Caenorhabditis elegans: one gene and its partner. The protein of the gene in region 1 purifies or fractionates together with the protein of each later gene. This does not show direct contact. Each region holds a gene or a part of one and is shown in the gene's direction. Other genes may lie near its edges.

Region 1 (7,964 bases):
CAGAACATCTGCCTTTTTTACCCAAATAACCTCAAGATTAGAATCAAGATGTTGATAAAAAGAAGTGATCCCATTAAATCTATTGATAACATCTTTATGAGTACACCTTGCCTTTAAAGGTGGACTAACGGTTCAGACGATTTTGAACGTATGATGATCTCTAAATGTGCTTATATGAACTAATTTCGTAATTAGACTTCTCAAAATTGTATTCAACTTTTTTTTATGGCGGTTCAAAATTTCTGAAAAATGGGACTGACTTTAGTTAAAAGCTCGAAATTAGCCTATTTTTCTTTGCCGTAGTGGTCCGAAGTTTTTTTTTCAGAAAAAATTTGAGCAGTTTCAATATGAAATTCGTTCGTTTGATCACATTTTGGGTCTAAACATTTAAAATCGTTAGTCCTCCTCTGAAGATGAGGTAGCGCCAGTGGGAAAATGTTACAAACTATTCGTATGGTGCCGAAACGACCGAATATCATAATAAAACTTTCCAAATTGTTTTTTGAAATTTTTTATTTACTGTCAAATAGTGACAATTACTCAGCTTTTGCCACTAATAATTTTGGAAGTCGACCAAAAACTTTTTTTTCTCTACATTTTTTTATATTGTAATTTTGTTTTAATTATTTTAATTAAAATATTGTAGAGGTTGAAACATGCGACATTGTTTTGGATTTTCTCAATAGCTTGTATTCATCAAAATTTCGGCAATTTGTCAAAACATTATTATGGAAAATCTAAAATTTGTTTGGTTGTTGTATTATGATATTTCGTCTTTTTCAATCATTATGAATGTGTTTAAACTATATTTCCACCGGCGATGCTCTAAGTTTTTAAATGAGGATGCATCAAGAAAGAATCATAAAACGTTAACTTCCACATTTTTTGGCAACCACTGTTAGTGTTATATTTGTTTGCAAATATCGATTTTTCATTTTATTTAAACATTATTTTTGAATTGAATAGGTTGTATAGAATTGTATTAATGTATTGAATATTAAATTGTATATATTCTGAGTTTTTAGTAAAAATTTTCTGTTTTGAGAAGGCGTAACACATGATGATGTTCAACAAAATTGTAATTCCAATGAAAGCAAAAAATTTTCAAAATTTATAAAAAAATTAACTAAACAGCTTTTCTGCCTACCTTCGTTTGTGGGATCTCTGTGGATTATCTTTTTTTGCCTGGTTTATCAATTTGCATGTGAAAAATCAATTTGTGTCACTGCAAACGAAGTTACAATGATTTTAGGTACGATCTGTCTACACCAACATTTGCCAAGACAAGTAATAAACCAGAAGCCTATGTTGTTGCTAATTAGTAATATGCAACACTTTAATTGTTTCCGATGAAGCTTGATATTAGATTTTGCGATTATTAGCCACCGAACACCAACACAAAAAAATCAAGAGTAAGGAAACTTGGTTAACTTTTCAGAAAAGTAGAAATCTCTTGCAGGCTTTGCAGAAGTTTCCCAATGTCACTAAAATATTTTAGAGCATTCCGTAAATTTCAAGCAAACCTCCTGGCATATGCATCTTGTGGGGTTGCCTGTTTTGATAAGATTGACTTTATGTCTAATTGTACTTCAGATTTTGAATATTTACTACATCCCAAAGTTTTCTTTGAAATCCAAATGTTACATAATTCAGTGAAAACACACGAAACGGGATAATAACTCGACCATTCTTCATCTTTCTCTCCATTTCTTTTTAAAACTAAAAAGCATTAAAAACACAATAATATGCGTTGAGTCTTCAGTGTGTCCCGCCAGAAAAATGTTGGCGGTAGACAAGAAGAAGCCATAGGCATTGAGGGGGGAGAAGATGAAGATGAAACCAGTCCGAAAAAGAGATGACCATGGCATTAACTTGACCGTCGTCAGTGCTTGCCGAAGCTTTCGTTCTTTTTCTCTCCGACCATATCTCGTTCCTCTTCTCCTCCACCCCCTTCCCTCGTTGGCTAGAAAGAAGCTCGTCAGCAGCAGGCCCCCTCTCTCTCGCTGTCTCTCCGAAAAGCATTCAGAAGCAGCGGCAGCAGCTTCGTGTTGCCCGTGTTGATCGTCTTAAACACAGTCATTCGGTTGCGCCTTGCCTCGTCCCCAATTCATTTTCTTTCACTTCGCTCTTGAATTGACAGCGCATTTTGACATGCGTTGGGAGAAATTCGCCTCCTTCATTTTTTTACTTATCTCCGGTACCGATGCACAATTCGGGGAAATTGCATCGTTAGCGACATCCCTGCTCGGGGGGGCTCTTGGTGAGTTGTGACTTGAAATTGCATTACGTGGAGTATTCAAAAACCTAAAATTTTGTACACTCTAATAATTGTCATTTTTTTTAACTTGCTGAACCTTGTCGTTTGGAATCGTACACCAGAGTCTATAAAGTTTTGGAGTAGGGTCTATAGTTTATTTTTCATTTAACTAAATTCAGCTTCTGGTATATTTTTTTTATTTGCAAGACAGTGATATTCTGTTTGTGATTTTATTTCTTGAAAAATAGGTTAAAATTGAGCCTCTACTTTTGGAAGACCATTTTTTGTCATTTTCAATAGTATTTTTATTTTTATTTTACAGTTTTCAAATGTGTGCTTTATATTTGAAAATCTGAACGCTTTAGCTTTTGAAATTGCAAACTCTTTGAATATATACTCTAGACGTGGGTACAGAGATCTTTTATCCCTGTCAACGTTACTAATGCTATATATATCCCTGTTAAATAATATGATAAACTCTTATGGGGTTACTCAAGTAGTGTCGGCAAATGAAAAAGTGTAAAAAAATGACGTTACAACTGTTCAAAAATATGCATTTTAACAAAGTCACGTGGTGTCAGGAAATCCCATTACGGTTTGACCTACAAGGAATTTTTCGCCTAGAAAAATTTGACGTCAGCATGTTGTTAACCTCGTGAAATCTGTTGAGAACCCTACTTAGGTTTGACCAATGTATACACTTTTCCCGCATCCTTCTTTTTGTCACGTTCCTCCCAGTTGCGAATTGGCGACGCAATCCTCATTTTTTATCAAATGCCGTTCGATTGCGCCGAATATCATTTCCTTCTAAACTAATGGGAAATAGTGGTGGCAGAGATGGTTGGCAGAGATATAGAAACACTTGAAGATCACGCAAGAACTGGATTTCGGAATACATTAGGAAACAAGAGATATCTTTTACGCAATATTCGGAAGGAATGGAAAACACCTTTATCGGTTTTTTTGTTCTGAATGTCCTGTTTGTGATAGAATTCAACAAAAAAGTATATTTTGATCGAAATTTAAGATATGTAACAAATTTTCAATTATAGAAAACACTTTTACATATAATTTTCCAGGAAATGGTGCTGGATTGGGAGCCTTGGCTGGAGCGGGAGCTGCGGGAGCAGGGGCAGCCGGTCAAGCCGGAGGTGCGATAGCTCAGATTGGACAGTGTAAGTTGGTATTGACAAAAAAAATTGGATTTAAAATTCTTATAGTGTATCAGCTTGCTCAAGGAGCCCTGCAACTGACTGGAACTGGAGTTGGAGTACTAAACCAGGCCTCGGAAGGAAATTGGTTCCCAGCAGTTTTAGAACAGACAGCTAAAAATTCTCGTTAGTATTTTAGCGTTTCTGATCTATTGAAACAACAGACAATTTTTGCAGAAGCACTTATGAAGCAAGGAGGAGGTGGTGGTTTGAACCTTGGTGCTCTTGGTCCAGCACCTGGAAAAACTTCTGGCGGACTTGGGCCAGAGTTTGGGACTAGCTTCCCCGCGCCGAACATAGACGATTACGATGAGAACGCTGAGATTCCGGGAGTTACAGAGAAAAAAACGCCAAAGGCACCTGACGGTCTTGTGGATATTGAAGAAGAAGACTATGAAGTTGACACGACTACTCCAACTACCTCGACAACGACTACAGAATCAACAACAACTACTACAACACCTGACGAGGTATTTTTTTAATTTTTATGTGGAGAAAATTAGAATGTGACTAATTTCAGTACGAAGAAGAGGCAACTACTGAGCCAACAAGTCCACCACCGCGTCAAATCAGAATTCAGCTGCCAGACAAAAATGGGAAAACTCAGCCTGAAGAAGAATTGGATTATGAGGATTTGGTCAGTTTGTGAAAAATATTCTCAAACCTTGATAATCGAAAAAAAAAATTCAACTAATTTTCCACGGAATTAAAAAACAATTCCAAACTGAGTTTTCGTCGAGTCGAAAAATCTTTTAAAGGTGGAGTAGCGCCAATGGGGAATTTGTCAAAAACTACTCCTATGGTCTCAAAATGACCAAATATCATGTTAAAACGTTTCAACAAATTATTTGAAATTCTTTATTGACTCTCAAAAAGTGGCAATTACTCAGTTTTTGCCACTCATAATTTTGGAAGTCGACCAAAAAAAATTGTTTTTTCTACATTTTTTATGTTTTAATTATGTTTAAATTATTTGTATTAAAACATTGTAGGGGTCAAAACATGCGACATTTCTTTAAATTTCCTCAAAAGCTCATGCTTTTCAAAATTTTGGCAATTTTCCAAAACTTTAACCGGAAATTATGAAAAATATAAAAATGTTTGGAGTGTTTTATCATGATATTCAGATGTTGGTTTCCAAATTATTTGAACTCGGATATTGATAAATTGAAGATTTTTCTGTTGTTGTTTATCTATTGAGCTACTGTAGAATTTTTTTTGAGTTGTAAAACAGCAACCCTTCCGCCCATGAGAGTGTGCTCTACTATTCAAAGTGTGAGGGTATCAAAATTGTTTGTAGAACATTTTTCATATCCATCATTATTTAAAAATTGAGCCGTTTTCAAGATAAACCCAATCAAAAAATGCGACTACTGTAGAAATTAGTGTCTGTTCGTAAAGTTTGTATCCCCGTAAAAATGAAAAGTTTCGCTTGCCACATAGTAAAACTTTTTCTGATATATAAAATATCCTAATAGTCAAACATTTTGTTTCACTGGAATAGTGAGGCTGGTTGTTAGAATTTCAACTTAGTTAATGAATTTCTAAAACTGTTTCAATAACCATTCCTCAATTAAGCTGTCAGTTTTTTCACGAATTCCAAATATTTTCTCTCCAGATAAACAAGAAAACTGAAATTGGCCAACAAGTGATTCCAACTATCGACGCTGAAAGCACAGATGAACTTAAAAGAAATGTGATAGCTACTCATGGAACGAAGACGCAACCTATTGTGCCGAAGCTTGACAAGCTGGTTGAAGTGCTCAAAAAGAGCAAGCTTTCAAAGGAAGAAATTGATGAAATTGTAGCTCAAGTAAGTTTTGAAATTTCTTTTTTTCTTTTTGTTTCTTCCTGGTGCCTTTGTTTTCTTGGTTATTCTTTTCAACAAGCTTTTATGTTTTGTAGGTGGAAGGGAATAAGAACATTGAGAAACCGGCAAAGTATGACTTCAATGCAGCGGTGCAAAACATTCCCGACAAGAGAAACAATATTCGTCAGAAAATTACTGATGCTTCGCGAATCATCAGCACAAATTTCGAGAATCAGCGTAAAGAGCAGAGTATAGTGGTGCAGCAGCAAGTCGACGAGCTCAAAGTTTTGCCAGATCTTACTGATTCCAGTATTGTGAGTGCGAACGTGCATGGAATGATATTGAATTTTAACGGAAAACCTCGTCAGATCTAGACTAGTACATATAGTATTACCTATATATATTGGAATTAGTTTTTCAAAACCAGATAGCTTTCTAGTGAGGAAAATGTTACAAACTACTCACATGATACCGAAATGACTGAATATCATACTAAAACTTTTCTAAAAAATTTTGCAACTCATTTATTTTTTGTCAAAAAGTGATCAGTTTTTGCCACTCATAATTTGGAAGTCGACCAGAAAAAGAATTTTTCCTACATTTTTTATACCTTAATTTTGTTTTCATTATTTGTATTAAAACATTGCAGGGGTCGGAACATGCGACACTGCTTTGGATTTTCCCAAAAACTCATTTTATTCTACATTTTGGTAATCTGCCGAAACTTTGACAGGAAATTATAAAAAAATCTCAAAAATTGTGGAGTTTTTTATTATGATATTTAATCGTCTTGGATCATTACGAGTGTTTTAGAAAAAAATCCTACTGGCGCTACTCTACCTTTACCACTAAATTTGTTGAATCAAATGCGAAACCCAAATTTTAATTTTCTAAAAAATATCGGTGTTTTTTAACTGATTCCAACAAGCACATTAATCGTCAAACTTTTATGATTTTAAAGATGTATAGGTGTTTAGTTTACTGGAGGTTAGTTAAGAATCTTTTGGAAAATATTTCAACTTTAAAACACAATGCAAAATTTGACCAGTTGTGACGTATTACCTGTACAATTTTACATATACATTTCAAAACATTGATAATGCTATTAAATTCAACTAACAAAACTTACAGTTGAAAAAAAATCATCAACCTCCACTGACACATCTTAGCATATTCGTATGTCATCATCTTAGCCTATCAAGTCAGTTAAAACCTACTCTCCTATACATACTTTCCAAGTTGCATGAGTCTAATTAAGGCACCAATAATTCTTACAACAACAACAACCCAAGCACCCAAAACATCATCTGCTACAACAACTGCACCAAAAGTAACCACTACAACACGTGCAACCCATTCTCCAACCACGACTCAAAAACTTGTTACCCAATCAGCAAAGCATATTCAGCAAGCAAGATCAGTGTCGGTTGTTGCTCCGACTGCTCCGACTCATCCACAAGTTGCTCCACAAGTTGCTCCACAAGTTGCTCTACAAACTGCTCAACAAGTCGCGCCGCAAGTTCAACAACCACAACAACCGTATAACAACTTCTGGAACCATCAAAATCACTTCCAGCAGCCGTTCCACCAACAGCAGCAACAGTTTTACTATACCCAGGTTTCTAGGTTTTCAAAAAAAAAAATACATATTCAAATTGCAGGCTCCATTCTACGGACAACAAACCCAAAACTACTGGGGACAACAAAATAATCAATATAATCAACAGGTTAGTACTGGTTTCGCCTTTGAAATTTTATAGACCCCTGTCAGACTAATAATTTCCAGTACGGCCTCCCACCTTATCATCAACCTCAACAAACTCAACAGCCCCAAGGTTATCAACAGCAACAATATGGTTATTCGACACCATTCCCAGTTCAACAACCACAACCTCAACAACCTCAACAACAACAGTTTTATAATGTGAGTAATTTCTAACAATATTTTCTTGTAAGAGTCCCGTAGAAAAAACAAATTTTAAGAAACTACAAGAAACTAATTTCCCATTGACGCACTGATCCTTAAAGTTTATCACCATGATCATAAAAAGAGAAGCCACCATTTTTCGAAAGTGTGAACTTTTCTTGAAATTTTAGTGATAATCCAACGAAAAAATATATAATTTTTTCGAGATACTTTTTTACTAAAACATCAAATTTATCTTCAGCAACAACAGTATAATGCCCAAACACCTCAGCAGGTGCAGCAAGTTCATCAACAGACTCCACAGCAACAAGTACAGCAGCCTCATCAACCTAACCAACAACCACACATCCCCTCTCAACAACTTCCCCGCCAGCAAGCTCCACAACCGGCCCAAAACCGACCTAGCGCCGCTCAACAAGTTGTGTTCCAGCAAGGAAGTGTCCAAGCCACAACTGCTCCTCAGAGGCCTGCCAACGGAAATACCAATCAAGTTGTTCATTACTATCAAGACGGCAAACAAGTTGTGCAACAGATTATTCCAAGAAGAATCGCTGCAAATGGGAATCTTCCACTCAATGGACCATTCAACTCACAGTCTGTCGGTCCGACCGATCCAGCAGAGTATCAGAGAAGACAACGAGCTTTGCACCAAGCTTACTCTCAGCCACAAACAAGGGGAACTGTTGCAACTAGATCAGTGGCAACTGGAGCACAGAGGTATCTTTTTTTAATAATAATAATAGATCATGTGACCTGACG
Region 2 (5,325 bases), on another chromosome or scaffold:
TCGAGGACTGTTAACCAGAAAATTATGATACACGAAACAACGATATACATGATTCCAAACCCGATTCCTTGATCGTAATACCTAAAAGAAAGGCTATTAAAATTAAATTCGATTATTTTAAAATGCTCACCCTTTTAATCTTCCTAATCTTCCTGTAGGCTCCGACTCGACGGCTTTTTGATAGATAACTTGAGTTCTTGCAGCTACATCCGGCCAGTTGTACATTTTTGAAACAGCTTCATGTTTTTCAGTAGGATCCATCAATAGACCTTTTTCTCGACGATCAACCGCTTTTAGAAGAGCATCAACGAGATCTAAAATTGGATTAATAATTGTTGCATTTTTGATAAACATATTATTTCTTAATACTCACCATCTGGAACTGGTTCTTCTAACGATATGAATTCTCCAATTGGAAGAACTTCAGGAACACCTCCAACTCGAGTAGAGACTACATGTAAACCACAACTCGCGGCTTCAACAATGCTCATACAAAACGCTTCAGTAAGCGATGTATTTATGAAAATTTGTCCTTGATTTAAGACTCGTTTCACTTGATTATGGGGGAGCATTCCGAGAATAACGACTCTTTCGTGTAGTTTGAATCTTTCGAGCATTTCTTCTAGTTCGATACGTTTTGGACCATCTCCGCCAATTATGAAGCGAACCGACTTGTGACGAGCGCAGACCTATAGAACATATAATTTGTGGAAAACTTAACAATAAAGAAGTAATTTTACCTTTGGCACAATTTCACAGAGAAGATCAGCTCCTTTCCGGTATACCAATCGTCCTAGAAACACTATCGTTGTCGGATTGTTGAAAAACTGATTACGATCCGGTGTGAACAGTGATGTCTCAATGGCATTTGGTATTGTAGACACTTTGTTTGGATCCAACTTTCCGCGTAAAACTGTATTTTCTTTACTCGTATAAGACACACATATTGTCTGATCTACGTTTATGAGAGAATATTGTAGGACCAATTTGTTGGTGAGAATAGCTGAAGCATCGGCAAATCCAAATAGTGAGTGATCAGTGAAAACTGTTCGAAGCCCCATTAAGCCACCAATCATCAGTGTTTCATGTGCAAGCGAGGAAAATGTCTGGAATTTTTAAAATACGTTTTTTTAAATACGTCTTTATTTAATCTCGAACAACATCATCAATTCCGACAAAATCAAAATTATCACTGAAAATACGTCTTTATTTGATTAATTACCGAATGCCCATGAATTATCTGCACATTTTCTCTCAAAAGAACTTTCCGTAGCCACGGCATACTTCCAACAATTGATCCCAATGTAGCTCCATTATAAGCGACAATAAATGGAAGATAATAGACCTGAAATCTAGAGAAATCATTGAAAAATTCTGAATAAAAAATACTCACTTTTAGACCATTCGACAAGTATCTGATTCCTTTTCTATTTCCATAGCCATGTGTTATGACTACTACTCGATGCCCTAGTTCGATGAGGCATTGTGCAAGAAAGTAGATATGAGTTTCAACTCCACCAGCATTTGGACAGAAGAAATCGGAAACCAACCTGAAAATACAGTTTTATACTTGAAATACAGATTCAAAGGAAGAAAAAACACTTACGCAATACTGTACGGACCAATTTTTAGCGACATGCATTAAAGTGATTATTGTTAATTAATTTTAACACTGTTTAATATTAAATTTAATTTGCAAATCTTTTTTAAAAGATAGTTCAGCAGTTTTTTCTTTAAAAAAAAGTGTTAAAATTTTGCAGATGCAATGACGCCCTACCGCACTTTCTCTTTGTGACGTCACTATTTTCCATGTGCAAATTTTGAAATACATGTCTTTCTCTGAAATTATCGATTTTCGTTAATTTTTCGTACTTATTTTTATCAAATTTACCTGTAATTTACTTTTTTCAATTTACAGGATATTCGTTATGACGCCTCCTGTCTCAGCATTCAAGAAAACTCCGAAAAAAGAAGAGCATCCTTTGGTTGCTATTGTTATTTTAGATGCTTTTGATCAAAGATTTGCGCCGACTCACGAGTCGTATCCGTGCTTTGTAAGTTCTGAAAGGTTTCTGAATTGCTAACAAATAATAAAAATCTAAAAAATAACTAAATAGCTTTCTTAAAAAACACTGCTTATTCAAAATCTTAAGTTAAATAAATATTTTTTCAGGGAACCATCCCCATTTGTAATGTTCCTGCAATCAATTTTGCCCTCTCCTGGCTTATGCGAACGGAAGTAAAAAATGTAATGCTAGTTGTCAGTGGATTGAATGCAGATCATGCAACAAGCGTACAAAGGTAATAAAATACTCTTATTTAAATGTGAATGTGTTTAAAACAATAGAATATAAATATATTTCTGAATTTTTCAGAGAGTGGAGATTAGCCTTCGATGAATTCACAGTTGTCGTTTGTGATGGAGCGAGTAGTGTGGGCGATTGTATGCGAGAGATACACAATAGAGAACTGATCACAGGTAGACTTTTAGATTAAAATGTATTTTTAACAAATAATTGCAGGCGATTTCATGCTCATCTCGAATCCAACTGCGGTTGTTAGCAGTACATTGAGTGCACAAATCTCGGAATTCCGTAAGCGAAGAAGAGAAAACCCGGATAATGTGATGACTCTTCTCTACAGTAATCGCGAAAATCCAGAACATTTGGTTCTTGGAATTAATTCAGAAACAAGTAAACTGATGCTCTTCCCGGCTGCGAACTCGCTAAATCAATTGAAAGCATCGAAAAAAGATTTCTATGACGAGGTTGATATTCGCCGAGATCTAACACCAACCGGAATCGCTTTTTGTAGTCGACTGATTGCTACTCAATTCAGTGATAATTTTGATTTTGTCGGAATTGATGATGTTGTTCGAGAAATTCTATCAAAAGACGATATTCTTGGAATGAGCGTTCATGTCGAGGTTTTGTCACCGAAGGAAAGAGCATTTTGTGCATAGTAAGCAATTTTATCGAAATTTGATAAGAATGTTTTGAAAACTAAACGTAAAATGCATGTTTTCGTATTTACGAAGCATTGAAAACCAACTTTTCTAAAAACTATTTTAATCATTTATATTTTCAGTGACTACGAATCATTAATTCTTCTAAATATTCTGATGCTCGAAAGATGGTTCTATCCACTCGTTCCCGAAAATTCAGTAAGCTTATATATTCCTCATCATTTTTAATTTTCAATAAGTTTCAGGATCCGTCTCGATATTTCTCTGCAAACCCTCGGAATTTATATTTAGAAGAGAATGGAGATGAGATCAGTATAAAAGCCAATACCTGGATGTGAGTAAAACTGATCACCAGGACAGTAAGAAATAATTTCGGACCTAACAACAAATTGGAATTTTAAAAACTTAAAAGTTTAAAACTTGTGTCAGAAAACCTTTTTTAAAATTCAATTTACAAGTTTACAAACAACATAACTTACTTGAACTATTTTCAGACTGAATAATAATTGCTCTACCGTATGCCTCGGCGTCAAAACGGACATCGCCTATGACGCTTTCATTCGCAACTCGTGCATTGGTGCCCACACTGAAATTTCCTCGAAAACTCGAATCACTTCATCAATGATTGGAAAAAATTGTAAAATCGGAGAAAACTGTGTGATAGAGTACGCGTTTATCGGAGATGATGTTGTTATTCCAAATGGCGCACACATTCCGAAAGAATCGATTATAGGAAATGGAGTAATGTATCCAAAAGAGCTTCCAAATATCCAAAATACTGCGATTTTCAAAAATGCAATCAATGAGGAAACTTTTGAGAAATTAAGTTCTCAGCCAATTGGGAATGTTCATGTATCGAAATTCCGAAATGGTGGACCATTCTGGAGACGATCGGTTAACGGAAAAACTAATTTTGCATTGGAAGAAGATGATTCTGAATCCGAATATTCTGAATCTGAAGAAGAAGACGATGGAGTAGGAAACTCAACTAAAATGTTCCATGATGAAGTTTTAGAATCAATGCAGAAAATTTTGGAATCTGAAAATTCGTTGATGCGGAATCTCATTTTGGAAATCAACTCTTCAAAGTTAGCTTGCAATGTAACAATGGACGAGGTTGCTAGAAATGTATTCGCTGCATTCATGAAATTGAAACATAATCAAGATTTTAATAAGATGAAAGAACTTATTGTTAAATGGCAACCTCTTTTCCTGAACTACTATAAAACATCGGCGGAATCGCTCAAAGTAAAATCTGCAGATCAAAAACGATTTGAGTTGGATTTAAAACGGAGATGCCAAATTCAACTTCTTCTTGCCATTGAAGACAAATTTGATAGAGATGAGAGTTTTGGAGTAAAAGCTCAGGCATTGGTTCACTATTTGTATCAAGAAGCAGATATATTGGATGAAGATTCGATTATTGAATGGGCAGGGTCTATTGCAGAAGAATCTAAATTGAAGGGGCTTATGAAAAAGATTGTTGATTGGTTACAAGAAGATGATGATGAGGAAGAATCGGAGGACGAATAGAAATCATTATATCCACATTTTTGTTATTTAATATTTAGAAATGTTTTTCAAACACTAAAATTTGATATAGGGAATATTCCAAATTGTTTTCTAGCTTATATTTAAGAATAATTTCAATTTCCCCGTGTTCTTTTGTTTTTAGTAACTCGAATTGTTGGAATTTTCCGGGTCTTGTTATGACTGAAAGTTTTCAACCACTTTTCTTCCCATATCAATCACTTTTTGGCATATTTATTTTTCTTATTCATTTTTGAAATTATAAATCAGGTTTTTTTATTCGGCTTTGATCTCGAAATGAATAAGTGTTAAATGTAAACACTCAGTATTTATTTTTGTTTTGCAATTGAATATTTCAGATTTCCACTAATTAGTTTCCAATTTTAGATGTCATTCAACCTGGTATTTTTTAACGGTGATGTTCGGAGGGACAAAAAACAGGAAGCAATGATCAAAAGCCTAAACGAGCGGGACAACTTTCTTAACAGACTCCGCGAAATGGAACATAAACGGGAAAAGGATGAGAAGCAAGAAAAGGCTGCGAGAAAAGTTCAAAAGTTTTGGAGAGGACATCGAGTACAACACAATCAACGTTTACTCTTTCGTGCAGAATTTGATGCAGTTTCAGATAGACAGCGAGGTCTAGAGGTGAGAGTTTTGCTATTAGATGATATATTTTGTAGCGTTAACAAAAATTCGTTCTTTCAGGAGACTATCAAAATGGCTCAGCTACTTGTCAATTTCTATGAAACGAATAAAGATGAAGAAAGATTAGTGATGACCCTATCAGAACTTGTGAAATTAAAAACCTCGGATAAGGAATTCGAGAA

What was found. The genes of interacting proteins can lie anywhere in the genome.
Region 2: the proteins of abu-12 (region 1) and eif-2Bepsilon fractionate together in Caenorhabditis elegans (co-fractionation; one large-scale study listed by BioGRID). This does not show direct contact.

Annotation. Positions count from the first base shown.
Region 1 is NC_003284.9:451,605-459,568, reverse strand, and holds the start of abu-12 (Activated in Blocked Unfolded protein response), read left to right. Parts: upstream 1-1,958; 5' UTR 1,959-2,151; coding exon 2,152-2,260; intron 2,261-3,336; coding exon 3,337-3,432; intron 3,433-3,477; coding exon 3,478-3,594; intron 3,595-3,645; coding exon 3,646-3,938; intron 3,939-3,988; coding exon 3,989-4,105; intron 4,106-5,086; coding exon 5,087-5,281; intron 5,282-5,373; coding exon 5,374-5,592; intron 5,593-6,536; coding exon 6,537-6,896; intron 6,897-6,939; coding exon 6,940-7,005; intron 7,006-7,064; coding exon 7,065-7,202; intron 7,203-7,446; coding exon 7,447-7,922; intron 7,923-7,964.
Region 2 is NC_003280.10:8,659,951-8,665,275, forward strand, and holds eif-2Bepsilon (Translation initiation factor eIF2B subunit epsilon), read left to right. Parts: upstream 1-1,918; 5' UTR 1,919-1,928; coding exon 1,929-2,054; intron 2,055-2,173; coding exon 2,174-2,301; intron 2,302-2,375; coding exon 2,376-2,479; intron 2,480-2,522; coding exon 2,523-2,961; intron 2,962-3,087; coding exon 3,088-3,163; intron 3,164-3,210; coding exon 3,211-3,299; intron 3,300-3,459; coding exon 3,460-4,498; 3' UTR 4,499-4,825; downstream 4,826-5,325. Other genes in the region: piga-1 (PIGA GPI anchor biosynthesis domain-containing protein), read right to left, coding at 1-81, 131-314, 374-689, 741-1,106, 1,223-1,345, 1,394-1,550, 1,607-1,638; E3 ubiquitin-protein ligase etc-1, read left to right, coding at 4,943-5,143, 5,204-5,325.